Linked DNA regions of Schizosaccharomyces pombe. The protein of the gene in region 3 purifies or fractionates together with the protein of the main gene of each other region. This does not show direct contact. Each region holds a gene or a part of one and is shown on either strand. Other genes may lie near its edges. The genes, in order: lsd2, sol1, rbm10 and ccq1.

The links.
Region 1: the proteins of rbm10 (region 3) and lsd2 purify together in Schizosaccharomyces pombe (affinity purification with mass spectrometry, with the first as the bait; one study listed by BioGRID). This does not show direct contact.
Region 2: the proteins of rbm10 (region 3) and sol1 purify together in Schizosaccharomyces pombe (affinity purification with mass spectrometry, with the first as the bait; one study listed by BioGRID). This does not show direct contact.
Region 4: the proteins of rbm10 (region 3) and ccq1 purify together in Schizosaccharomyces pombe (affinity purification with mass spectrometry, with the first as the bait; one study listed by BioGRID). This does not show direct contact.

Annotation. Positions count from the first base shown.
Region 1 is NC_003424.3:443,341-453,137, reverse strand, and holds lsd2 (putative histone demethylase SWIRM2), read right to left. Parts: upstream 6,369-9,797; coding exon 3,897-6,368; intron 3,844-3,896; coding exon 2,608-3,843; 3' UTR 2,412-2,607; downstream 1-2,411. Other genes in the region: meiosis specific arrestin family membrane adaptor Ste7, read left to right, coding at 219-1,928; Fe-sensing transcription factor Fep1, read right to left, coding at 7,875-9,569. UniProt on the Schizosaccharomyces pombe protein: Catalytic component of the SWM histone demethylase complex that specifically demethylates H3K9me2, a specific tag for epigenetic transcriptional activation, thereby acting as a corepressor.
Region 2 is NC_003423.3:1,307,006-1,315,259, forward strand, and holds sol1 (SWI/SNF complex subunit Sol1), read right to left. Parts: upstream 4,798-8,254; 5' UTR 4,720-4,797; coding exon 2,122-4,719; 3' UTR 2,067-2,121; downstream 1-2,066. Other genes in the region: karyopherin/importin beta family nuclear export signal receptor Kap109, read left to right, coding at 6,226-6,283, 6,333-8,254.
Region 3 is NC_003424.3:1,512,123-1,516,279, forward strand, and holds rbm10 (RNA-binding protein), read right to left. Parts: upstream 2,613-4,157; 5' UTR 2,507-2,612; coding exon 2,249-2,506; intron 2,195-2,248; coding exon 1,964-2,194; intron 1,893-1,963; coding exon 1,287-1,892; intron 1,245-1,286; coding exon 642-1,244; 3' UTR 561-641; downstream 1-560. Other genes in the region: rps2202 (40S ribosomal protein uS8), read right to left, coding at 1-67; ssz1 (putative heat shock protein Pdr13), read right to left, coding at 2,967-4,157.
Region 4 is NC_003421.2:1,482,488-1,489,178, reverse strand, and holds ccq1 (shelterin complex HEAT repeat subunit Ccq1), read right to left. Parts: upstream 3,040-6,691; 5' UTR 2,877-3,039; coding exon 669-2,876; 3' UTR 501-668; downstream 1-500. Other genes in the region: ubiquitin hydrolase Ubp5, read left to right, coding at 1-245; signal recognition particle subunit Srp54, read left to right, coding at 4,043-4,120, 4,601-6,091. UniProt on the Schizosaccharomyces pombe protein: Component of the meiotic bouquet that facilitates meiotic nuclear reorganization of the telomeres to the centrosome. Links telomeres to the meiotic centrosome component pcp1. Essential for the formation of normal telomere clusters during meiotic prophase.

The DNA.
Region 1 (9,797 bases), 1.1 Mb from region 3:
TAAATTTTTTATTCCAAGATTTAGTGTTTAGTGTGTTTTTTATTTCTTTAAAATCTCTCTTTCTTCTTTCACGTTCACGTTGATTTGACTATTCCTTCTCAACATCTCTCATTTTCTTTATCCTTTCCCCTCTCCTCTTCTTATCAGAGCAATTCCGTTTCTCTCTTCTCATTTTTACCAGTCCCTTACTTACCAATTTCTGTACTTCCGTACCCATCATGTTTTTGGAAATAATCCTAGATTCTGCGACGTATAGCTTTGACCGTGTAATCACCGGAAAAATTTGCTTTGAAACAAATGCCGCTACCTCTCCTCGTTCCTTTCAAATTCAACTTCGCATCAAGGGTTATGCTGTTTATCATCATGGTTTCTTGTCTTCTCCTTCCCATAAACATCCAACAACTGCTTCTGCCTCCGATTCCGATGAAGCTACAGAAATTTTTACTCATTCTCAGCCTCTTCCTATACCAGCAGGTCCCTCTTCAAAGTCTCATGCCATTGACTTCAAATTTAAATTTCCTTCTAAATCCGCCTCGTCTCTTCCTTGTTCCAAGTCCAATGATTCCATGGTCAACATTTGCTACATGCTCAAAGCCACTATCAGTAAGCGTTATGCCTTTCTTGGCTCTTCTCAAAGTGCAAAGGCTGAACTCATCATGGTTCCTCCAAATTTGGCCGGTAAACCTTTGAGTGCTAATTCATCGTTCGGTTCTTCTGCTAAGACATTCCAACTTCCGGAATTTGATTCCGTTACTCCTTCTGCATCTCTCTATAAACAACCTTCCTTCAATTCCAACCCCGCTCCCATTACCACCTCTTCTGCTACTCATACTTCTCAATTTTCTACATCTTCTTCTTCTTCCGTGAATTCCGTTCATACCCCCGTTATGGTTCCTAATCCCTACTTCCAGTATAATTCATCCATGACAGCTCCATCTTCATCCTCTTCCTCAGTAGCTCCTTTCGTTCCCCGCCGTCAATTTTCTGTTTCTTCAGCCTCAGATCCACCTCAAACTCCCATTTCCATGTCACCCCCCATTCCACCTACTCCTTCTCAGTTTTCTGCTTTTATGTATCAAAATCAGCAGTCATACCTCAGTCCTCAGTCACATTATGAGAATCCTCTTTCCATATCGTCACGTCCATCGCCTTGCTGCCCTAGTACGCCTAGTAGCGCTGTAACCCTATCCAACGGTTTTGACTCGCAATCCAATGCTTATAATAATTCGGGTACCGGTCCTCCGATGCTTTATAAATTCCCTCAGCGTTCTTACACTGCCCCGAATACCTCTTTCAATTCTCAACGTCGAATGTCAAGCATTACCTCACTTCCGACTGCCTCGTTTTGTCCTGTTAAACACGGCGTTTCACCTCCATCTTTGGCAGGAAATCAACCTAGTCCTTTATCTTCTCCACTCACCAATTCTAATGTTTCTCCTTCTACCATTTGTTCACCAGACAACAACGTCACCTTTGTCAATTTAGCACCTGGTGAGAAGTTGACCTTTAAGATTGAACCAAACGACCTTATGGATGAAGAAGAGGTGGTTGAGAATTCCAATATGTACAGTATTCCTGGTAAGACTGTTGCTACAACAGTTTGTCATTCGTCATCTTCTTCCGGTGACTTTTCAGCTCTTTCATGTCATAGAAATCTATCATTTTCTGAAAGCTTGCCTACTGCTGAAGATCAAGTTCATAATAATCACTGTGCCGTATCGCCTTCCAGAAGAAGTTCATCCAATGCTCTGTATCTAGCTACTTTGCCAATGGGTTATGAACGATCTAATTCCGTATCATACTGTTCAGATTCAAGTCTTAGCTCCCCTTTGCCTGACGACAATATGCTACAAGATCCACACGCTTTGAACATGGCGTATGCTAAAGAATTCGATGTTCTTATCAATGAAGTCTTACAGTCTCTTTAATTATTTATAACAGACTTCCTGAATTACGAGTCTTTATAACAACCACTTTTTTTTTGACAATTGAGATGCCATCTCCTATTAACTTTTGGATAATGCTTTTAATTATACATGTCCAAATATGGACTGGAGTCAATAACTCGGCATTTTTATATTATTTTATTTTAATATCATATGCATCTTATGTTTTTTTTTTAACTATTTCGTTGTAGTACTTGCTTTGAGATACATAGTGTCCATGGTGTCTGCAACAAATACAACCGCATCTGTTTTGGCTTAATTTAATGATTCTTAGTTAATTTTAATTACTTTTTTTCTAATAACTTATTTTTTTATTTATTTCACAAGCGTACTAGTAATATCATTTGTTGCTTGAATATTATGTTAATGGCAAAATGGTAACATGCATTACATCCTAAAGAGTGAGAGTAGTAGCTGTGTTTACGATATCATCTTTTATCTCTTACATCTTCGGCATTAAATCAGGTTGGCTACTGGCTAACGAGAAGTGTACATGTATTTTAGATTTTCCTTAAACAATTTGCTGAAATTAGCAATTTGATAAAATGCTTCATTTAGGGCATGACGAGAATATATATGTACATAAAATTTTAAGGGTATTTGTAATGATGCGAAGTAACTAAACTTTTAAAAAACAATATGTGATTTGATTTTTTTTCTTTTAATATCGTGTTCCATTATAACCCGAATCAGAAGATCCATCGTCATGATACTCTTCGTCGCTAGCCTCTCGACTTTTGGAAATGTTGTCATCCTGAGTTTGTTTTCTTTGCTCTTCTTCTCGTTGAGCTTGCATAAACAATCTTGCTTCATCATCGGGAATAGGTTCATCTTGGCATTTGGCCGCATAATCATTTCGTATTTGCTCGGCTCTCATTTCATATTCTTTAGTTAGGCGCTGATAACGAAGAATTTTTCCAGCATAAGCTTCTCTTTGTGCTGCAATTTCATCAATCCAAGGTTTTTTACCTAAATCATCAAGCTGGCGCCAAGTTTTCCCTAGTTTGGCACGTGTTTCATTAATAGTAGCCTTCGCTGTACTATCTCCTGTTAACCTTCGCTTGTCTTCATCAGCAAGTGCACGGCATACATGCCACTGCATTTTTTGGTAAAGTAAAAAGGGATTTGCATTCGGCTTGGAAGGAGGTTCAGGTAAATAACCAAGAAGTTCAGTTACAAGCTGTTCCTGTTCTTCCTTATGCTCGTCAAGTCTTTCCTGCTTTTTCAACCTATATCTTGCCTGATAAGAAAGGTGACGCTGTGCTTCAGCATTGGGATCAAAATTATTAACTTTAGAGTTTCGCAAAAACTGATCCAATTCTTTGCGAGAGGTTTCTCCAATGATAGGTATGGTTAAGGAAATTGGAGCCAATGAATCAATAATCCCTGTACATACGGAAAGGCCAGATAAAAAGGATCTTTGTAATGTCCTACAGCCTACGCAACTGAATATATAGTCTCCAGCAATATGCAAGCGACCCAAATTATACGATAACTGACTTTGCCTAAATCTTTTTTCATATTGCTGCTTATCATTGGCAAAATTTGGATAAGAATTTAAGCCGTCATAGACACCATTTCTCGACCAGTTTGTGACCCAAGCATCTAATAAATCAGCTGAGCTGTTTGAATCATTTTGAAAATGATCTACTATTAGACTGTGTAATTCTTGAATTAAGTGGGAGGTCTCGTTAGAAGAAGAACTTGTCATTTGTGGATTGATATCCGCTACTAATATTGGGACACCAGTTTCAGGAAGCATATTCCATATTCTCAAAACAAAACAAGATTTACCATCATTCTCATCATTGTTCATTTCTTGACTTAATGATTTTGGTATAATACCAAATGATCTAATGTTCTTTCGCCAAAAAGCAGCTGCATAACGAAGAATAACCTGCTCAATGTTAACTTTATAATTGAAAAAAAAATAAATAAATAAAAACCTACCTTTTTTCCGGGTTTGAAATCTATACTTTTTATGTTTTCAGTCACGAAATTAGGAAGACCTGGTGAAAACTCTATATTTGAAGAAAAATGAGAAGGAGAGCAAGCAATTACAACTTGGTCAACCTCATAAGAAGAGTTGTCCTTACAATCAAGGGTACATTTATCATTTTCAATAGTTACCTTAGATACAAACTTCTCATAATGAATATTTAAGGGAGATGGATAAGATTGTAATGCCCATGGCAGTTGAGATAGACCTCTTCTAGCAACTTTTGGAATCAAAATATCTTTGGAGAAGTCTGTATCAACTGTGTTAAGAGGGTACAAAGTATCGTCCAATTCCGCGACCTTAAAACACCATATCAGAAATTTCTTTTGACTGTTCCCGAGTTTGGCATAAGAAGAAACTTCATCAATTAGTATTAGCATTGTTTTTTTGAAGGAAAATTCATGTGACGCATTTAATGAGAGTGATTTGGACAAATGATCAGGGAACATTTCATCTATAAACAACTGAAATTGGGATATCCAAGAAATACGAACAGATTCCTCAACGTTAATAAAAAAGCAAACAGAAACATATTCCAAAAGTTTTTCCCATAAAATGTTTAATTTTTTCACCTCAACCATGTCTAATACTTTAGTATCGGTCTCATCGTAAACTAAATCTGAGCCAGTCATCTCTGTAACTTCAATACCCAATTGTTTATTTAAAAGGTTAAGCAAAATATCGTCCATAGGCGAAAATAAAAATTGAAATCCCAAATCAATTGCTGAAGGAATATGGGACGGGTCAGTAACATCCTTGGGGTTTAAAGAAGTGGAATTACTAGAAATAGAATTCGAATTAGATGTATGATGGTTAATTTGGGTAGCCGAAGTATGAGAAACAGGCAATGCTCGAGAGTAAATACGACCTCCTGTCCTTTCTTTAGCTTCAAGTATAATAACTTTAGGAGGAAGCTCATTCTTTGACAAAAAAGATGAAGAATACTGAGAAAATAAGCCAGTAAGTTGTCTAGCACATATCAAACCAGTAAGACCAGCGCCTACTACAGCAATAGTCTTCTGCTTCGATGCAGAACTGGATGTTGTGCCAGTATTAGTTTCATTCGTAAAGGATGAATCAAAGGACAAGCATCCATAGTTTATATATCCATACCTTACAAGGAATTCATAAGCTAAAGAGGCTAATTGGAACAAACATCGATCGACACATACGCCCTGAGCTTCAACTCTGGATATGGCATGCGTAGGATTTTTAATCCAAAGCCAACAAATGCTGTTACGAATTTGGAAATAATGAAATAATACAACGGGATCGTGTAAACGATCAGAAAGCATGTGTTGTTCAAAACTTTCTAAGGCCCTCGGATCGAGATTGCATTTACGAGCTGCTTCAGCGGCATGCTCAAAAAACGACTTTAAAGAAGATGTAGGGATACTGGCTCCTGCAGATGGTATAGTATGAGATGATGATTGACTAGACCATTGTAGCAGTACTCTAGACGGCTCAATTGCAACAGAACCTTCAGGCCTAGCACCTAACTCTGAATCAAAAAGTGCAGGACTACTAATATTACCAGATGTAGCAGCTGAAGACATTAAAGGGAAAGATGAAGCAGGAGGCGATACAACTGCCGGTGCAGTAGTAGGTGGTATTGGCAAAACTGCGTTATCAACACTTTTAGATAATTCTGTTGCTGATACCAACTGTGTAGGCATAAAACTTTCATGATTGCGGAATGTAGATGGGGTAACTCCATGAGAAACTTGATCCCGATACATCGACAAAAGTTGCTGAGAAGATAAATGAGAAGCGTCTAATGGATACGGATAATTGGAAAAGGCATTTGAGTTTTGGTGTTGAATGGGGCCTGCATGAATTGCCGTTGAACCATCTCCACTGGAAGAAAGCGGGTTTTGTGATCGTGAAGGATATGTAGATGGAAATTGCTGAGAAGACGGAGAGTTTGCATCAAAAAAGTTTTCGTATGTGGATGACTTTTGTTGAGGAAAAGAGGAACCTACAGTTGGAGGTAATCCAATTGTTCTCATTCCAGACTGCTGAGCGACACCTGCATTTGAATTGCCTAAAAGATGCTGAGGAAATGGTTGATTAGCCGCTTGCGAAATTGTGTAAGGGTGAAAAGAGGAATCATATCTAGAAGGTAAAAATGCTGGATTATAGTTTCCCCATTGATTGTTCAGTGAGCTAACTGGCTGTGAATTTAAGCCGCCATCTGTACGATAAGTTGACCTTGAATACGCGTTCTGATTAACAGAATTAGGTGTGATAGACTGTAATCCACCTCCTAAAATAGCTAAAAGCGCTTGTTCACTACTCACCAATTGAGGTTGAGTTGAATTAACGTTGTTGGCGTTAGCATATGATGAAGCCCGGTCAGAATGATGCTCTGTCATTTCTGGAAAGTCATAATGACCATCTGGATCATTCTCGCTCGTGTTCATAGAGTAAAAAGATACAATCAAAGTGAACCGAGGTGGTAAAATCTCATTGAATCTCGATTTGGTGTTTACAAAGTACTTTGCGCAACATATCCTTAACGATTCGTTAAAAAAATATCGTTCTAAATATTATAGCATAATGGGATAACGACAAATATTATAAGCATTTTTATGTCAAGTCCAATCAATCATCTATCAGACTATCCAGAATTTATATTTTTCTTTTAGATAATACATGTGTCTTTAATTATTTGAATACCATGAAGAACGCCCGAGAGGCATTCAATTGCCTATTTATCTGATTCATATTGCGAGTATTATTCTACGATCGCATTTGCTCTCTTCTACAGGCTTAACACTTTGGAAATGATGAACGAAAAATGTGAAGTTCATTAATTTGTATTCATTTTCCAAATTATTGCATTAATGTGTTAGCTCTTTCATGCTAAAGACTACTACCTAAACTCGTTGATTTCAACTTGCAGAAAACAATATTACAATACACTTGAAAGTATAGTCAGCGGAGAATAGAACAAATGGAGTAAATTATTATAACAATCCAAAAATATGTTACATTGCTGTTAAGATTCAGAAAAGCTTAGGATGTTTAGAGTAGTAGTGTAGATTAACTGTTTATCAATATTATACTAAAACATCTCATTATGGTTCAAGTTCGCTATTGTTGAATTTTACAAAAAGTCTAGTCCCGCCGGGGATCGAACCCGGGACCTTCTCCGTGTGAAGGAGAAATCATACCACTAGAACACGGGACTGTTGGTTGTTAACAGAAAAACTAAATGATATATATCATAATTACATTATTATTGATTTAAATAGATTAAATAATGAATAGCGAAGTTATTTGAGCTGAAAATTAAGTGTAAGTTTTTTATATATGTGCTGTAATGAACAATTAAAATTTCAGCCTAATCATATAGTTTTAAAAGTCAAGCAATGACTTTTTGCGAATGAACTAATTAACCATGGATACTGCTTTTTACAAGCAACTCCATTTTCCGTTTTAAATAGTTGTATACAAATGTTTTTTCCCCCGAAAAATTGTAAAAATATATTAATGAATTGACAATTTCCAAATGAGTTTGCACTCGGGCAGTTTAAATATATTTAATATATTAACTATCTACATACCATATAAATCCGGTAGTATTATTTTTTCTCAATATCTGCTTTTTCGATGCGTATTAATATCATAAAAAATGCTCCACATAGGATTTCATTAAAAACATATATGTTAACTCTAAATTTAACGGTAAATCGCTAAGGACTGAATATTATTTTCCAGCTCTTAACGAATATAACACCGCAGACGGACTTGGCCAATACCAAAACTAACGCAAAACAAAAGACCAATAAGAATCATGTGAAGTATTTTACCCTAAACTCATAGTATACAATGTCATGCTTGTAAGTAATAGACAGCTAAACGGGATAATATCTAATTTGTTTACCATAAATAAATATGCCGCACGACAAACATGCCAATCAAGTTTATGTTTGAAGAGCTCCAGATGCAACAACAGCAGGGGTTGAGGATTTAATATGTTCAGAAGCCATATTTTCATTGTCAGAGGACCTCAGCCATTCATCTATTTGTTGAATGTGCTGATTTAAATTGTGCAACTCCTGAATCATTAAATCATGCTGAGAACGCAATTGCGAAAGAACATTCAAAGCATAATTGCGTTTATCTACATTTGATCCCTGAACTTCAGGAGGAAACTGCAAAGAAACCGGCGAGGTAGAGGATTGGATTAAAGGAGCTTGCTGAGATTGCGAAGGTGAAACTTCTGATTTCGGTCCATTTGACATTGATGGCTGCTTGTCGGAATTTGAGGGTGGCTCTTCGGGGTTAAGTAAGGAAGCAATTCCTTCAGCAATCCTTGGCTTTGCAGAAGTTCGAGGAGGCAAACAGACTGACTCGCCAACAGGAAGGATAGGAGGTAAATGAAACTTCATGCCTAAGGGGTTGGATTGGTTGGCAGTTGCAACGCCATTATTATCCGTGTTCGATGTTGTAGATTCCGATAATTGCTTACTAGAATCATTGCCAACTGCTACAAGCTGACCAGGGTATACTACTTGATTAGCTCGTATACCATTGGGAACATACTCATTTTGGTAAGGAGGCAATCCTTCATGCTTGTTCTCAGGAAGAGGCAATATTGATTGTTCCTGAGTAGGACCATATGAGTAATAAACTTTCCCATTATTATCAGGTTCACCAGCCGCTAACCGTGACAATGTCATCAATGGTGAAGGATTGAACGAAGAAGGCAAGAACCCGGTAAAATTGCTGTTGTATGAAGGAAATGTACTAGCCGGAGGTAATACTCCAGTATTCATTCCATGCTCAGCCAGACCTTCACCAGAATTTCCAGAAGCATGGCCATTACCATTGGGAAAAGATTTAGAAAAAGGACCATCCCTTGTAGACTGTTGCTTAACGGAAGATCCGGAATCCCCACTTGACATTCTTTTTAAGTTGTGTTGCGACTCATTCGCATTACCGTTAAAAACCAGCCTTTTTCGACGTTTAATGATTGCCTTCTTCATGGTAACGGGACGATGTACCCCATGAATTTTGTAATACAAACCACAAGCATTACAGATCGGATTACCCGACTCGTCGCGGCGCCACAAAGGAGTATTTGTGGTAGCACAGTTTTGGCAAAAAGTAACACTTGGTTCATGAGGAGGAGATGAGTCTTCATGCTGGTTATGACTAGAACGTCGTCTACTAGTGCCATTGCTAGTTTCAGTCGTGGTATCTGAAACGATTTGAGGTTTCGATTCTAGAGGTGTAGGCGAAGCTTTGGTTTCAGTGCTAGAGGGTACACTGCTAGGATTGGGAGATAGACTTTTGCGTCCGCTCTGAGACTTAGAAGCATTGAGACTTCTTATACGATTATTTAAAGCAGGACAACCAGTACATGAAGCACTGCCACCCGTACCGTTACAGAATCCATCTCCAGCACAGGTTCCGTTTTTACAAACTTGCTGTATCAGTGGAGAAATGTCTTTTAAATCTTCAGATTTGACAGGACGGGCATGCTTGCGATGTTTTTGATATAAGCCACAAGCATTGCACAAAAGGGAATTATCGGGGCCACGACGCCATAAAGAAGTAGTAGTTTTGTGGCAGTTGGAACAACTTTGGCCAAAAGGAGCAGGTTTCGCAGCCATTTTTTTGGTGATATGTAAAAAAGTTAATTACGAACGAATCAAAGTAAATGCTAGCTTTAAGTGAGTTGTACTGAACGAAATGATCCAAGCTTATTCACAATGGAAAATAAAAAAAAACAAGAAAACGATTGTATCGATATGTACAAATTGCAAAATTGATTGAACCCAGATGAGAACCGATGGATTGGATTCAAAAAATTTTGAGATTTCCGTAATGGATTGACAAGA
Region 2 (8,254 bases), on a different chromosome or scaffold from region 3:
ATTCATTCTTTGGTCTAATTTCTATATCGTTTTTCGAAAATTACTACTCCATTAATGTTTCTCTAGCTGTTTTATTTACTTACTTTAAATATTTCTCACTATAGCACGTGAGTGTAACGAGGTAACAAAATTGACTATATGAAACGAGAGTTAGTTTCAAAGAAAAGGAAAAGCAGGTAATTCTTTTACGGTCATTTATCATTGATTTTTTAGGTATAAAAAAATTTTGTGTCGAAGAGTTGTGAAATTTTTAATAGATTACTCAACACATGATTTTCTAGATGAGAACTGTAAAGTGTGTTCTTGGTTGTGAAAAGAAAACATATAACGATGAATAAAGAAAAATAAAAATCTCGCTGTCCTATTTAATGTACTTCCATTTTTCGCGTTTTAATATGTTATAAACACATATCGAATTTAAAAGTGTTGTAGAGTTGTTTTGTTATAGTTTGTTACATTACTCCAACTTGCTACTTTCTAAAACGTTCTGTCCATATACCGTACTGCAAACCTCACCACCGTAATGCGCAAAAGTGCATATTTGGACACAAGCGATGTCAACGGTTGCTACACACTTCTTCCCCAACCACTCACATCCTTCCAGAAATTTGAGGATGAAGCAGGGTTAGGGTTTTAAAAGGTATATATACCGATCAGACGCCTTCATAAGCCAACGTTCTACTTCCATGAGTCTGAAGGAGCCACATCAAATTAATATGCTAGGACGCCAAAGTAGTGGAGACAAGAGGTTTATTGATTGATTATCTGATGTTGAAAGGCTTAGGTTCTTATCGTAAATGGCTTGTATTTTGTGTGTTACATTTATTGATATTAGGATGGTTCTCCTTCAGGCTCTTGGAAAGCGTTCGCCTGTATCTGTGTTGTATTTTTTGGAGAGATTCTAGTCTGATTCTAGTCGTTTGATTGTACAGTATGTCTGTCGTGTATGGTTGCTTTATTGTTTTTCTGGGATTAAGTCATCTTGGTGCAGTAATTGGTACTGTGTTGGTAGAAAAACCTACCATATTCCTTTTTGCGCTTGCTGTGGTATCTTTTTGACTATAGTTTGAGATTAACTGGGTGTTAAAGCTTAGTAGGGGGTAAATCCCGTACGCATACTGAAACCTTGAACTCAAACTGAATCTTTGTCGTTCTTTAAGTGCCTTGTTAAACTTGTTTGTAAAGGTATGTTCGCCGTATGCTGATTGATGTCTGAGTACAACGAAGCTGTTCTGATGATATTATTATGTCTTCTTTACCCGTCCTATCGACTATGACGATAACTTTGTCTCCACTATAGGTGGAGACCATACTTGCCAGTATCTTCGATGTCTGAATTGTTTTCGTTGTTCCAGTATCTTAGTAATCTCTGTATTGTGTATAATCTTTCAGTGTACTAACTTCTTTTTTAGGTGTATTTGTGCGAAACTTTCAAATTTCTTGCTATGCTTAAACTCGCGAACTAAACGTGTATGTTCTGTATGGTGAAAATAATGTGTGTTTTTCGTGTAGCTACTCCTGTACGTACGAGTTATGGTGGAGATTGGACTTTACATCCTTTTAGTTATAAACATATATAGTGCTGTATTGCTTTTTGGATTGTTCGGCGAAGGTTTTTTTTTGCATTGATCAACAGGTGATGAAATTTCCATTGAACATTCGCAGTTTCCCCGGAGCGGCATACGAACCCAATTTTGCCGCAGATGTCGTGCATAGTCCTTCCTTTGGATGTCTGATGTTGATCTTGCAAATTTTTCCTTTTTTTTTTTTTAATTAAATTTTTTTGTGTTGTGTTTGGCTTGTAGTTGTAGTGGTGATAAAGGTTGATTATCATGTTCTCCAATATAGAGTAGTTAAACTTTTTCTTGTTGTGATGGAAATTGTAGTCTGGTTGATTTATTGAATTCAGTCTATTTAGAATTGCTTGAAAATACTCTTAATAAAATTGTTGCAATGCGTAGAATGGCAATTAACTCTACATAGGTTAAGTAGTCTTTCTATAAAGTAAATAAATCATCTCTAAAAATTTGAAAGCATGTTTAGACAATATACATACAGAAACGCATCAGATTAACTAGAATGAAGACAAAAATATTAAACGTTTGGAAAATTATCTACAAATTAAATGCCAGATTTATCATCCGTATTTTCTAAAGACGCATCACTGTCCCCAGTTCGATCCAATAAATTTGAGATCTCTTTTAGAAACGAGGTTTCTGTTGTAGGAGCCAGCAAAACAGCGAGGAGAGTTTCACTTTTGGGGAAAGAAGATAATGAAATATTTCCAGCTTCCACTAAGCTCAAAAGTCGACGCACCGTAGATATGCCACTCTGAATCACATAACGAAAAGGATTCGTAGTAGGATACTGCGATGCTACACGTGATGGTGGATTAAGGGAAGGATGACCTGATAATAGTATGAGTAGGCGTAACATGGAAACAAAAAATCCCTCGCCTATATTACACCAATTTGCCGCTTGTTCCGATTGTTTAACATAGGAAACGGTAGCTGCTAAACAAAAAAATGACTGCTGCAATAAGGGTAACCTTCGCTCGCATATTTTAAGGCAGTGGCGGTTAAATTTTGGGACAACAGAAGCAAGAAGTAGAAAAAGGGAGTCTAAAAATTTTGGATTGTTATCAAAAATAGCTTGAAAGTTTGTCTTGTTGTTAGCATCTTTGGCTAGTAATTTGGCATAGGCATTAATGGCGGGACCAGCATAGGGATGGGTAGCAGGTGTGTAACTAGGTATAGAGGTTGGAAGGGTGTCATTTAAAATAGTTTTACTCTTCTTTCTGTTAAATGGAGAAAAAGACAAAATAAATAGTAAAACGTGACGAGCAACGTCGACATTCGGTAGAATGAAATTTTGAGAAAGTTGACAAAGTACGATTAATACATCTTTATGCAAATCCAAGGTATTTCTTGATGAACGTAGAAGGGAAGTGGCATGAAAATTAAGACTTTTGACTACACGAATGAGTAGAGGAAAAAAATCTGGATTTTGTACCAAAACGTTTTGGTTGGCCTCAAAGTGAGAGAGATTTCTAAAAATAACGAAAACAGCTAACAAATTTTGCTCCGAATTATGAACATCAATAGCATTGATGCTATCTTTTGTTTTGTTTTCGCTTAGTGAATTTGAAAAGTCTTCTCTGGAGAACTGCGATATCTCTACGCAACAATTGTAAAGAAGTTGTCTATAAGAAGGACGTTTATCGGCGATTTCCATTAAATCCTCATTAGGAAGAACAGATAGCAGATTATCAAGGCACTGAGTTGCAACGTCAATCAACGCATCAACTACATCCTGGCACTCACTTAACGGAAACATCCATTTTTGATCATTTGTTAATATAAGTAAAACGTTCATTGCATACGTTATTTCTTTTTCCAAAGTAGATTGCAGGCTCATGCACAAGGCTTGAATGTTTACAGTCCCCAGATCTACGATTGAAGGCATCTGAAGCCGAAGCAAAGATTCATCGAGCCTATACGTGGCCGCGACATTCAAGGGATAACCCAACATAGGATCGATGGGCTTTTTTATCGGTTGATAAGCAACGGGTTCGGCAGAATCAACAGGAGCTGCCGAAGAAGAAGTTTGAACGGTGGGCGGAGTGGGTCGAGTCGGAGCAGAAGGGTATGGTGGAGCATTTCTTTCAGAACTAACTGTGGTAGGAGCAGCTGGAGAGAAACGATTAGCGGTGAATGCTGGGGAGGGTGACTTTGAGTGAAGTGATCCATGCATAGAACCATTGGCATGTACAGCTTCTGGGGTGGTTTGGACCGGCTTTTGTGGATAGTTTTTTGGTCTGCTTTGAACATTCGCAGAATGATTAGCTTTTGCTTGTTGAAGTGATTTTTGTTGCTGTTGAGCAGCAAGCCATGCTTCTTCATATGGAAGCAGATAGGAATTGTAATATTGAATTAGAAGGGAAATAGCATCAGGAGATGGAAACCCCAAGGAAGCAGAAATTTTTGGCCAAAAATTATGAGCTGAGACTTGTCGAGATCCACCGGCACGCATAACCAAGGCGTACAGCATCATTAAATTAATAGGCGTATTATTTATTTGAGGATAAGATTTGATTGGCGTCCCCCGCTTTTCCATAAAAGAAATAAGGCTAACCATGAATTTGTCAAAACTAGCAGCATAAGCAGGCGTTAGTTGATTAGCATTACCAGAGGGAGTATTTGGGGAAGGTGCAGGTTGAGGAGTTTGTCTTACAGCTGGGTGGGCATTGATGCCAATTTGATTAGGAGGAATTTGTTGAGAGAGTAAGGCCTCTCTGCTTTGCATTTGTCGTTGATAAAGTTGTTGCTGCTGTTGCTGTTGTTGTTGCTGCTGCATTGCAGCCTCTTTTTCTTGTTGAAACGGGATCCGACTTGAAGGCATCATGGGACTAGAGTATTTCACAGATCCAGAGCCATTCCATGCACCGTTAGAGGCGAAATCAAATGATTGATTTGGCAAATTACGTTGAGTTGATGGAGATTGTCGGAAGGGCTGTGAATGAGCCAAATTGTTAGGCTCATTCTCGGAAGTATTCATCATGTTTGCATTTCCATATTCTGCTGCATACATCCCTTGGCTTGTCGAAAAGCGTTGAGGATACGCAGGTTGTTCTTCCTGAGTATTATAACTTTGACCTTGCGTGGGATATGATACTGCGGTTGGATAATCACTCGCAGGAACAAACCCTTGATTATTCATGATTCCTCATACTAAATCAAACAAAGAGTAAAGGGACCTTAAAATACACGTTTCAATATATTAACGTCTAAGGCGCTTGGCAGCTGAAAGTGCTTGAAAAGCAGACGAAGTGCATATAACGAGTTGTTTAGTGCTGCCTTTAAGAACCTAATCTGTGTGTTTCAGAAAATGCTTAAATTCCTAAAAAATCTTTACACTCATTCCTTTAAATCTCGCAAACGTGATTTCTTGCCTTTGCAGTGTCTCTTATTTCCAAGTCAATGACAATTGTTAGCATTGGGAAGCATTTATCGATTAGTCAGGTATCTAAAATTTTAAAAACAAAATAATATCTTATTCCTCTTGTAATAGAAACAATATTTATTAACTTGCTCTGTTAGTAGACTTGGCGAAACTGTAAACAATCACGAGTACAACATCTTCTTCTTGCGGAAACAGATATTTTTTTAATAAATTATTTTTTTTTTTTTTAAAATAGTAAAAGCATATGAGTTAACATATTCGAGATCCCGTTATCCTCCTTTTCTTTCTTTTTTTTTTTTTTTTTTTTTTGAAAGGAGCAATCAAAATTGACACATTAATTCAAATTTATCTGGTCTAACCTTTTTTTTATTTTTTATTCATTATTTTTCCTTCTTTCTTTCTGGCTACATAAGACTCGACGCAATGTCATTTTATAAATTTCATTGTTTTCTATAAACGTGCTTTCATATGTGTAAACCTATTGATGAATGAAACAAGATAGTAGAATATGGTAATTTCTATTATCAAGCAATTGGATTTAGGTTGTTGAACTCTATGGACAAGGGCTTGTACGTGTAAAATATATATGTTTATGACTTAATTATTTACTTTTGCAAATCTATGGTTTCAAGTCAACTCGCAAAAGGAATATCCGATTCAAGAAGGAAAAAAACTAAATACTACAATAAAAAAAGGTTTGTAGTATTTGAGATAAAGATGGAGATGCTATATTGCACATGTAGAATTTGATGGCATAAACAAGAATTAGATTTGAAACAAAAGTCAACTAACACAACTTTCAAGTCCACGTATAAAGCGATTTCTATTCTGACGGTTCATAAAATGTTTAATGAGCTTGCAAACTAAAACCAAGTAATTCGGAAATTAGGTATTTACAAGCTGATAATTAAAATGTGAACCCTTGAATTATTGATAATGAATTATAGATTTTATTAGTTTTAATTCCTTTTTTAAGTAATTTATCAAGTATAGTCCAACTATTTATTTACAAATATTGGTATATTAGGGTGTTTTAATAGAAAAAAAAACAAAAATTAAGCGAAGAAAAGTATTACATTAACAAGCCTGAAAAAGAAGCAAACAAACTAATTAAAAGATGTTAACTATATCAAACTTAAGAGAAAATTATTTAATAAATAAAACCGGAATTAAAAATTCTCTATAACGATGTTAGAGAAATTGTTCTAGTTACGTCGGTGTCCTTCAAAATCTGCCCTTAACCACAATCCCTGTAGGAAAACTATGGATGACATTCCAACTCTTCTTGCGAGAACATTAAACCCTACGACTTCCAAAAGTGGTAAGATACCCCAACAGAGTGGATAAAGCAAATTTACTAACTGATATAGCTGAGGAAGCACTGAAAGTATGGGAATTACAAGATAGTTCTTTTGCACTAAAACTCCTCAATATTGTCGCTGAGGATACAGTAGACATCAATATTAAGCTGGCCGCTTCATTGTATTTCAAAAATTACATTAAAAAACATTGGGATTCTGAGGAAGGTGCTTCTATTCGTATCAGCGATGAGGTGGCAGAATTGATCAAACGCGAAATAATCAACTTGATGCTGAAAAGTACTACCATTATTCAAGTTCAGCTAGGTGAAGTAATTGGTTATATTGCCAACTTTGATTTCCCTGATCGGTGGGACACTCTTCTCCCCGATCTGATATCTAAATTGTCTGCTGTTGACATGAACACGAATATTGCTGTACTTTCTACTGCACATGCGATTTTTAAGCGCTGGAGACCTTTATTCCGTAGCGATGCACTTTTTTTGGAGATCAAATATGTGTTGGATCGTTTTTGCGAACCATTTCTCGCTCTCTTCGTGCAAACCAACAACTTATTGCGTAACGGTCCACAAGATGCAGAGTCTCTTAACAGTTTATTTCAGGTTATCCTTTTGGAGTGTAAACTTTTTTATGATTTGAATTGCCAAGACATTCCGGAATTCTTTGAAGATCATATGAGCGAATTCATGACCGCCTTCTTAAACTACTTTACCTACACTAACCCCAGCTTGGAGGGTGACGAAGGAGAGACAAATGTCCTTATTAAAGTTAAAGCAAGTATTTGTGAAATCGTCGAGCTATATACCCTTCGATACGAAGAGGTGTTTACCATGTTGTATGACTTCGTCAACGTAACATGGACACTTTTGACAACCTTGACTCCTGATGAAAAATACGATGGTTTAGTTGGTAAGGCTATGGCATTTTTGACATCCGTCATTAGAATTCGCAAGCATGCCGAGTTTTTCCAGCAAGACCAAGTTTTACAACAATTCATTGAACTCGTCGTTCTTCCTAATATATGTTTGCGGGAATCTGATGAAGAATTATTTGAAGACGATCCTTTAGAATATGTCCGCCGTGATCTTGAAGGTTCGAACAGTGATTCTCGCGCCAGATCCGCAATCGTTCTTGTTCGTGGACTTTTGGATCACTTTGATCAAAAAATTACGAGTGTAGTCTCAACTCACATCAATGCTAATCTTCAACAATTCTCAACAAATCCTTCTCTTGAATGGAATAAAAAATACGTAGCGCTTCAGCTCTTTTCGGCTATTGCTATAAAGGGTCAATCCACAAGACTCGGCGTTACATCTATTAATTTGATGGTAGACGTTGTTGCTTTTTTCGAGAATAATATTAAGCCGGATCTTTTACAACCTGCTGGCGTCATTCATCCCATGGTTCTTGCCGAGGATATTAAATATGTATTTACATTTCGCAACCAGCTAAATTCCCAACAGCTTATTGACATTTTCCCTACAATTTTACGCTTTTTGGAAATGCCCAGCTTTGTCGTTTACACATACGCTGCAATAGCATTAGATCAGTTGCTGACTGTTCGTCATAATCATGTTCATATCTTTACAAGTTTACTAATTGCTCCACACATATTACCCGCTCTAAATCAACTTTTCCTAATTGTGGAATCTGCATCCACACCACAAAAACTTGCCGAAAATGATTATCTAATGAAAGCAGTAATGCGAATTATTATTATGTCTCAAGAAGCCATTCTTCCAGCTGCTAGCCTTCTTCTTCAGCACCTCACAAAAATTACGGAAGAGGTTAGCAAGAATCCTTCCAATCCAAAATTTAACCACTATCTCTTCGAATCTATTGGTGCACTTATTCGTAGTTTATCTAAATCTGGTCCCCAAACCGTCTCTCAACTGGAAAATGCCCTACTTCCAGTCTTTCAAAATGTGCTTATAGAAGATGTTACTGAGTTTATTCCGTATGTCCTACAACTG
Region 3 (4,157 bases):
GACGTCCACGGCGCTCGGCGTTGACGATATTGTTTAAACAATCAGCGAGAACAGATTGACGAACCATTTTGTGTTTCTGACGAGAAGCGCGTTAGTTTTCTTGAGTGTCTTGTTTAAAGATTTCAAGAAAAAAAGGTTCCACCCATTGGGTTCAAGTATTCACTGAAGAATAAATGTACCAATAGACTTCCGCTCACATCTTGTAATATTTAATATTTCATACCTGTTTTGGACTACTTTTACTTTATAAACTGTAGGTGGTAAAAACAGTTTGCAATTTCGCGAAATGCTTGTTTTGTATCTACAGGAGCAGTCACATAAAAACCCTACCCTATTTAACTCAGTACTGATTTGATTGACTTTGGGTAGTTTCAAAATAATAGAAACTTTAGAAATGTAACCTGAAGGGCATATACGGTTAAAAATAAAGTGTTTCTCTTAAACTGTACGGAATTCCAATGTTTTAATATACCAAGGGGAAATTACTTTATATAGAATATTAGACGTTTAGTATTGAATTGCCATACTTTACAAAATTTGTATTTCCTCAAACACAATAAGCATAAGTAGGAGACATAAAATCATGGTATTAAATTACTGTAATATTAAGAGATTTTCGACGCAAATAAAAAAATTCCCTATTATAAATTATTGTTTTTATCATTTTGAAAATACAAAGACCTTGCTCGGTCTTTCACTCTGTCAACCGGAGTCATGTTGATCTGTATTTTACTCCCCTTGTTGCCAAGTCCAACACCGGGCAAATACATCGTCGGTTGAATAGCTTCCTTGATCCCATTTTCGTTAGTACCAAGACCACTTCCTTTGTTCCATCCCATAGAATTAAGCATTTTCATGCTAACATTAGAGGTGGAGTGAAAGCTTGAGCCCTGAGATGACTTTTTAGCCTCAACTATTGTATCACTAGAAGCAGCAGGTACTATTCGACGTTCAGTAGCGCGATCTCTGTAATCAACAGACTCAGTTTGACGAACTCGGTGCATCAAAAGCTCTGCAGAAGAGACAAGTTCGTGGTTTTTCAGATTATTGTTGTGCATAATAGACTGAGTAATATGTTTTACTACATGGCCCCAACTCTGAAACTTTCGCTCACACAAAACGCATATTAAAGCCGATTTCCACACAAAGTGTAAAAGCAACTTTTCTTCTTCTTCAGAGAGATCAGGGATATTGTCTTTTAATTCCTTCTGCGCATCATTCCATCTTTGCAATGAAGTGGCAACCTATACATATCAGCAGGTTTATGCTAACATTAAGACACATACCTTCTTAGAAGCAGGTACATCTATGTAATTGGATGATCGTGCACGCTTTTCTTTTTTTGGTTTCTTATTTACTTCAATTGGTTTAAACTGATCTGTATCAATGCCTTCAGGAACATAGATCGAGCAATATAGTTCTGGGTCCCAATAAACGAGATAACCAGTTTTTGTAGGAAATTGCCATCTTGCAGATTCCGTATATGCAGGAATTAAAACTCCATCATGAATGTAATCAACAGACACTTTCCTAGAAGCTAACGTGAAGCCCTTTCCCGGGTACGTGCGGGCTTTCATAAGTGCTTTCGCTGACTCATCTACATCTTTAAATTCTAGTATGGCATAACCACAAAACGCATCATTAAACTTATATCGAATCATGAAAACCCTTTGGACGTCAATTTCTAATTTGGAAAGTCCCTTCCATAACGTTTCTTCAGAAAGTGAACGGTCAAGGTTTCGTAATATAAGGTATACTGAGGGTACATCACTTACATCCATGTCGCCATTCCGTTTACTGATTTTATGATTTCCAATAGCAATCGAAGCCTGATTCCTTGGCACACGACATTTGAAGCAAGACTCTCTATATGAATAATTTAGAATATCACACTACTCCAACAGTTAGTAAGTAAAAAAAAATTATATGTGAAAAAACAATATTAATTGTTAAAATTGTTTACATTTTGGCAACACCAACCCTCAATCTGCTCTCTGGCCGCACGTGAAAAACGTACAGACACATCAATACCGTCGATGACCAGCGTTGGAAAATTGGCTTCCATCCAATCCTTAGAATCCTGTAAGGAAACAAATTTAGCGAAGGCAAAACAGCGAGATTTTTGTGTTTCTTTCTCTCTTATTAGTGTAACAGTAGAAACTTTAGCACCCGTGGCGTACAACGCAAGTTCAATCTTCACGCATTTTTGTTAGTATTTCCTTCAATAAAAATTAAGTCTGAATCACACATGTTCTTCTAATATTTCCGGAGTCAACCCTTGAAGAATGATTTCTTGATTAGGAACACCGATGTGTCTAGAAAGGGGTGAGTTCCTGTCCCTTCCATAATTTCCTTTCGGACGATATGAATCGAGTAAACGAGGGTTGTCACTACTAATATTTACATCGTAATCTCTAGATGCACAATTGTCCGATATATTACTGCTGGTCGAACCTTTCTCTTCAAAAATTTCTTCAAAACCATTTTCTGAATAATAATCCTTCATCATGTCCACAACGAGTTTTAATTATTTAAAATGGTCTGTCTTATAACTAAACGAAAACTATTCCAACCATCTCAAACATAATTTGTTTGTATTAGGTGAATGTGTCGTCGTATACTTATAAAATTATCACCACCAACATTTCCTTGCAGCAACATCATATCATTCTCTCAATATAAATCACGAAGTGGAAGTTGAATAAAATTATTGAAGTATAGTACATGAAATTTACTTTCAGTAAGTCAATTTAAACTGTCAGTTTTTGAAAAATATTGCTACGTCACATGAATGAAAAAATCAAACATTTTATATGCATAAATGGCCGTGTAATTTAATTTTAATTTAATACAGTCTACCAGCTATTCTAGCTTTCCTTTCCTAAACCCTCTTCTCAACAGATCAGACATAGAAAAAAAACTATGACATAGATAAATTTTTATGATTTTTTATAGCCAAGCCAAAATTATGCAGTAGATCCACGAACGTTAGTTCCCTTGCCATCCTTAGGACGTGCACTTGCCGTTAATTTCCCTTCAGCATCTATTTGAAGAACCAGCTCGATCTTGGCATTAGGAGAAACATCAGGAAGAGTAATGGTGGCAATCAAAGTCTTGGGTATAGCGATACGCTCTTTAATCTCCTCTGGCTCCTCTTCTTCATCATCAGAAAATGCCTCTTCCTCATCAATAGGCTCCGGTTCAACTTTGGTAACCTTTACTGAACGCTCAGCTTCATAAATTGGAATAAAGGCAGCACCCTCTTTAGGAGCAATCACCTCAACAGTCTTTCGAGCAGGCAAAGCAGTCTCGATGTCGAAAATAGTAACAAAGTTCTCACCTTCGTTGATACCGATAGGAGCAGTAAGGTGAGGAACATCAACCACTTGTGCATCAGTAGAAGCAGCAATGTCAGCAGCATCAAAGTGCCCAATCAAAGAAGCTTGAACACCGGAACCGATCGCGGTAAGTTCAGAAGGGTCTAATTGCAAAGGAGTAACTGAACTAGAGGAACGGATGATAGTTTGTTCAGGGAAAATGGATTCCATCAAGGAAGTTAATTTGGGAGTATTGGAGGCACCACCAGCTAAAATAACCTCAGAAATATCAAAAGGCTCCATGTTTGCCTTTTCAACAGCTTCGGTTACAAGATCGGCCATGCGATTTAAAGTGGCGCTTGCTGCAAGGTCATAACGAAGGCGGTTAATGCTACTATGGAAGTCGATGCCGTCGGCCAAAGAGTCTACAGCAGCAGAAGCGGTAGTACCATTGCTAAGTACACGCTTAGTGATCTCACATTGAGCACGGAGCTTAGCAAGGGAACGGGCATTTTTGCGAGGATCAATTCCATTCTTCTTTTCAAACTCCTTGGCAAAGAAATTAACCAACACATCAGTTAATTGCTCACCTCCCAAATTCTCATCATGAACTGAAGCCAAAATGGTCATTAGACCACCCTTAACAGATACAACAGAGACCTCAGAGCGAGTGGCACCAAAGTTAGCGACCACAACAGTTTTGTCGATCAGAACCTCTTCGGAATACATTAAGGCCAAAATAACAGCAGCCGGGTCATGAATCAACTGCAAAACTGGAAGTCCAGCTTCATTGGCAGCAGATTCCAGAGCCTTACGTTGAGCGTCAGTAAAATAGACAGG
Region 4 (6,691 bases), on a different chromosome or scaffold from region 3:
CCCAGGAAAAATTCATCGATACAAAACTACGTCTTGCAGCTCGCACACAGTATCCAGAAAGCATTTTCAGCGTTATTAAATTCTGTGTGGTGGATTTTGATAACAATAGAGTTGTCTATTTGAATGATGAAGACATTACATATGATGTTGTTGAAAAACTAAACGGTACATTGGCTTTGGATCGTGCTAAGAAAGATAGTAAGAAGCCGAATATACTCGACCGTGCTATTCAGATGAAAAATTAGTATTTAAAGGCTTTACAATCCTTGCTGGTTGTTTGGTCCTTACCTGTTGAGCATAAGGTGCATGAAGTTTTATACAGGTTCGATATTGCGAGCATAACAAAATGATATGAAGCATAAAAAATTATTTCATCAATGTTGATATTGCATCTTTTGAGGATGCATATTCGAATTTGATACAATTAAAATCTTTCAAAAACAAATTCAAAATTAATGACATAGATCATTGAATCTAGTATGTAACGAAATGTCTAACTTCTTGATGAATATATGAAGAAAACCAATATATTTTTGCAACTGTTGAAAAATTAATACAATTAAAATTGTTTCATTAAAAGCTGATTACGACATAATTTAATCAAATAACCGTATGACTAAACGAACTTTTTATAGTTGATTCCACTGAAGTTCTTGATCGTTAATGATTTAGTTAGAATCAATAATCCTTGGTGATTGATTATGTGGAGTAAATTTGGGAAGAGACTTCTGCTCTAAAATTTTTAAGGTCTCCTCCAGAGAAGAGACCTTAGCGAGTAATGCTTCTACCCTTGAATCATTATAAACTTTTACCTCTTCCATAACTTTAGAATTTATAGCTTGTAAGCGCTTACATTCAGCTTGAAGTTTCGCAACCTCTTTGCTTTGCTCAGCAGCAAAAGTAGATGCATTTTGATATTGATTAGTAATGAAATCAGCGTCTTCTTTCTGTGTTTTTAACAGTTGAGTAAGTTTGTAATTTTTTTCGTTGGCTTCAATTAATTTGCCTTGTAGATCTTCATTCGAAAATTCTTGTACATATTTAAAGCCAAATTCTTGTTGCTTAGCTAAGTGGGTAAGCTCTTTTTTAAGGTTTGCGATTTCTTCAACCTTCTCAACTTCTAGCTTTGAAAGGTCTTCATTCTTTTTCTTCGATTTCTCCAAATCCAGCTTGAGCTCTCGAACAGTGTTTCTGTATTCTTGTAAATTATCCGTCAGCTTAGAAATTTGCTGCTCCAACTCCTCTGAGCGACTTTGTTGTACGTTTTTGGAATTAATGGCTTCGTGTAATTCATCTTCTACCATTCTTAAACGACGCTGCAGGTATTGGACAGCTGCACCTTGGAGATCATAATTATTGGAAAGTTCTACCTCATCAGCTTCCTGTTGAGAAAAAAAGTTTTTCTTTAGTGAGCTTGATGACAGTAAATCGGTGGCATTACTTGTTAAAGAGTGGAGTTTGGAAGGTGATTGCATGCTTTGCGACGAAGGAAATGTACTATCAGATGATTTGACAAAAGTATCGTTCACCTGAGAAACAGAAGGCTGAGAATCCCTTGGTTCTGCAACCGATAAGCTTGCTAAATCCATTAGAGGAGGTAGTGGCCAAGAAGAGAAGTTTTCTCCATTTTTTAACCAGGTCGCAACATTTTTAGCAATATCTCGAGTTTTTTCTGTAATAGAAGAGTGAGATTCTGAGCCTAGGATTTCCTCAAAGTTCCCAGATTTCTCAAACAAAGTGCTCAAATTTGAAGCTTCTGAATTTTCCTCGGAAGAAGAACTAAGAGTGGCAACCACACCCACAATGTTCACTAAAAATGAGGCATTGTAAGATGATTGAAAACATTTTATGGCATGTTCTATAGATCCCAAGTGAATGAGCCTAAGGACAAGGCTTTGAATAGAGGGCAAGGAACTAGTGACACTCATGTATGCTTCGATATCATAAAAAATGGTTGCACTCAAATCTGGGCAAGATTGAAGAAAATGAGAAGCGGAGGGAGCCTTTTTGGACACACAAATCCAAATTGCTGGATGTTGGCTAGTCTTTGCATCCTCTTCAGCCCATAACTCAGCATCAATGTTTTGAGATTTTAGCCATTGAGTAAGTGTGTTTGCAAGAAATTGGTTGGAGATAAATAAAAAAAATGTCTTAGAATAAGAGGGGGAAAGATTTTTGAATAATTCTTGCAAAAAAAGAAATTTTGAAGAATTTTCGGCATATGAAGAGAAATTAGAAGCATCTAAAGAAACGTGGGAATTAGTGGATTCAGCAGCGGAGGGATTTCGAACTTCAGTATCATACAGACTAGGATGCTTTGCAATGTTATGAGCAGATTGAATAAAAAGACGTATTTTTTCTTGGATTCTTGAATCGCTAGGACCAGTACAAAAATGGTCAATACAAAAGGCAAAGTATTGAACCAACCGATGCATCATTTTCCTTTGAAGCGCAGACATTGGAAGGCCAATATCTAGCACGCTGAACGAGGATTTAGAAGATTTAGTAATAGATTCTTCCGAAGAATCAAAGGCAGTGTCATTTTGCAAAGGAATAGGAAATAACTGCTGGGTAGAAGGGAATTCATCGACCTCTTGAGTTAAAAAGTCATTTTCAGAGTGATCCAAATCAGTCCGTAAAAATTTTTCTATCTCTCTTTGTTTGGATGCAGGTTCTTCATTACGCATGCAACTTAGAGGCTCTTCCAATTTTCTCTTATGGCCTGCTAATTTTAGAAGCCATACATCTTCCAACGGGCTAGGGCAATCCTCTTTGGCAATCCATCTATTACTGGAATTCACCTCAGAGTAAACCTCGTATTTCGTATCACTTTCATTGATAATAATTGAATTCGTAAAGTCGTTAATTTCGCTCATACTGCCATCCACGTTAAAATTCAACAAGAAATTGAATGTTTAAATATTGCAACACGAGACCAATTTAGCGTCCGAAAAGAAATAATTTTCGCACGTTTAGAGGAATTAGATGGTCTAAAAAGAGTCTTTTATTATCGTTTTTACAAATAACCACCCAAATGTTGTTCCCAGAATTCCGTGTTCGCCTTTAAATTTGTACATATTTTTACGAAATACACTGTGTAGCGGAAAATGTTTACAGCATTTAAAAGAGCTCTAATTACTTTTTTTCATATAACAAATCTTTATTTTAATAAAGTAACGCGTCACCTCTCTATTTAAGTCTATTATGTAAACAAATATAACTATTCACCCATAACGCGTAGTAAATGTTATTTCTTTTTCAAATTTTGTGTTAAGGGGTTAACGATTCTTTATCTTTAGTCTTATATTGAAAAAACAGCTAATTGCAATTCATTCTGGCTCTTATAAGGACTTGGAAGTGCTTTCCTTCGTGAAGTTTGGAAAAACTGGATCTTAAGACTAATTGCTGGATTAACGCACGAAAAATTCCAAAAAAGTTTAAGGTGAATAAGAACATACGCCTGAAAAATATATAAAAAGTTTCAAATATCAATCTTTTAGATCTTTTTCTATTAGCGTCTTAAAACACAAACTACAGCAAGTATGAATCAAAAGATTGTGGGACAAAGTTAGCCACCACGGAATTTACGATTCGTGTTTCTATTACAAATGTGAGAAAGAGAAGCATCAATAATTGTCAGGACCTAGTCAAACACTTTTACACATGAGTATAATCTTAATAAGTATTTTATTTTTTAAGATTATACCTACTGAACTTTTGCTATAGATTAATTCTAAAATATTATACAAACAAGGTATTATATAGGAATGCTGTGCTGCGCTATCCTGTCGATATATCACCTATACTGAAAACAATAAAAAGCTTGCAGGCGAAATAACTCGGTATTAAACTCAGTGAAAATATTTTTTAAAAAGATAATATCAAACTCTTCTTTACTTCATCTTTAGGCATTTATCATATTGCCTCAATTGTCTATTGACTTTTCGCTTGAAGACACTGCATGTCCTTAACGACTTCATCCTCTACCAACCACATTTGACGAACTTCAAATTGCCTGGTTGGAAGTTTTTAATCTGACAAAATGGTTTTTGCAGATTTAGGGCGTCGTTTGAACTCTGCGTTAGGGGACTTTTCTAAGGCCACTTCAGTGAATGAAGAGGTATGTTTTATTCTATCGAAAATTTGTTCTCATACGGAGAGTGAGCCATGTCATTTATAAAAATATTTAATACATCTTTGCTTGATTTCTTCAAAAATTTTGCATTTGCCATGTTTTACACGCTGTATATGAACATCGTTTCATGCTTTACGAAATTTGTCGATAAGAAAAATCATCTACCACAGATATGCTTTTCTAGTTGCGTAGCTGGTTTATCCAATCTCTTATATATATATATCTTGATTGCATATTGGGATTATCTTCGTTTACATCGACGTTACCTTGACATGAAAATTTAAAACCCTTTTTAATAATGCAATGTTAGATTTTGGTTTCAAGTTACTAAAAGGGTTTACTTACCAAGCAACTTTTAGGCAGCTGAAGATTTTTTTAATGACCTCTAGTTTGTTTTCCCAATGTTCTGTTTTGATTAGGATATCTATCGTTTTAATACGAACCTTTACTAATAATTTTATTTAGCTTGTCGATACTCTGCTGAAAAATATATGTACGGCACTTTTGGAAACAGATGTTAATGTGCGATTGGTTCAAGAATTACGTTCAAATATTAAGAAAAAAATCAATGTATCAACTTTGCCTCAGGGTATAAATGGGAAGCGAATCGTCCAGAAGGCTGTCTTTGATGAACTTTGCAGTTTGGTTGACCCTAAAGTTGATGCTTTTACTCCTAAAAAAGGGAGACCTTCAGTGATCATGATGGTAGGTTTACAAGGCAGTGGTAAAACGACAACATGCTCAAAGCTTGCTCTGCACTACCAAAGGAGAGGTTTGAAATCGTGTTTGGTTGCTGCCGATACTTTCCGTGCTGGTGCTTTTGATCAATTAAAGCAGAATGCTATCAAAGCACGTGTTCCTTACTTTGGTAGTTACACCGAGACTGACCCAGTCGTTATTGCCAAGGAAGGTGTTGATAAGTTCAAAAACGATAGATTTGACGTTATCATCGTTGATACATCTGGTAGGCATCAGCAGGAGCAGGAGTTGTTTGCTGAGATGGTGGAAATTTCAGACGCTATTCGCCCAGATCAAACAATTATGATTTTAGATGCTAGCATTGGTCAAGCTGCCGAATCTCAAAGCAAAGCGTTTAAAGAGACTGCTGACTTTGGCGCTGTAATAATCACAAAATTGGACGGACATGCCAAAGGTGGTGGTGCTTTATCCGCCGTGGCTGCGACTAAGACACCCATCGTGTTCATTGGTACCGGTGAACATATTAATGATTTGGAGCGCTTTTCTCCACGTTCTTTTATCTCAAAGCTACTCGGACTCGGTGATCTTGAAGGTCTGATGGAACACGTTCAGTCTTTAGATTTTGATAAAAAGAATATGGTTAAAAATCTTGAGCAAGGAAAGTTTACGGTCCGAGACTTTCGAGATCAACTCGGAAATATTATGAAATTGGGACCACTTAGTAAAATGGCTAGTATGATTCCAGGCATGAGTAATATGATGAACGGTATGAATGATGAGGAGGGATCTTTGCGTATGAAGCGTATGCTCTACATCGTTGATTCAATGACCGAACAAGAGTTAGATTCGGATGGTCTTCTATTTGTTGAACAACCCTCTCGTGTTTTACGTGTTGCAAGGGGTAGTGGTACAAGCGTTTTAGAGGTAGAAGAAACCATTTCTCAGGTCCGAGTATTTGCGCAAATGGCGAAAAAGATAGGAGGAAAAGATGGAATTTTGGGTAAACTTGGTGGAAATCCAGCCGCAGCTCTCAAAAAAGACCCTCGTCAACTTGCAGCTATGCAGAAAAGAATGCAAGCCATGGGTATGGGGGGAGGAATGCCTGGCCTCAATCCAGGTTCTATGAACTTTGGTGATATTTCAAAAATGGCTAACATGTTGATGGGAGGCGGAGGTCCCGGAGGGGCAGGTGGTATGGATTTCAGCGGTATGCTCAATCAATTTCAAAATATGCAAAAGCCTCCTCGAAGACGTTAGTTTACTTCCCTCGTTATTATAATGTACTCACATATGGCATATTTTACTCTAATACCTTATTTACTGTTTTATAAAAATATATGCATTAAAAATTCATCGTCCTTCTCGTTTTCCTTTTTCTTTCCCTAATTACTTAACGTTTGCTTTTATAATTGTGTAAAATTTGTTTCTATTTCTACTGAAGAGCTAGCAAAGTTTGCTAAACCGTAAACGTGAAGCATCCTTGTATGATTGCTCTCGACAATTATTTGCAGATTTCTTAAGAGCTCGGTTAGCTTATGTTAATTGCTCTTGCTTCGTAAAATGAGAATTGGATTTATTGTATATTAATAATGGTAGTGTATTGAGAACATAGTTTTTTAGCCGATTAGGATTAAGTTTTGGGTTTTCTCATTCTATGCAATCACATGAAAAAGCTTCTTGAAAGTTTCAAATTTGTGCTTTATTAATCTAATTACTAGTTTGAACAATGAAGGATACCTAAAAATAGGCCAAAAGGCTTGTACGTAGAAAGCATAAATTAGAACTAACGGCAACTGGAAGCTATATTTGAACAGAATGCAGAGATGAACTTAAGTGGAAGATTCTATAGAAGCATGA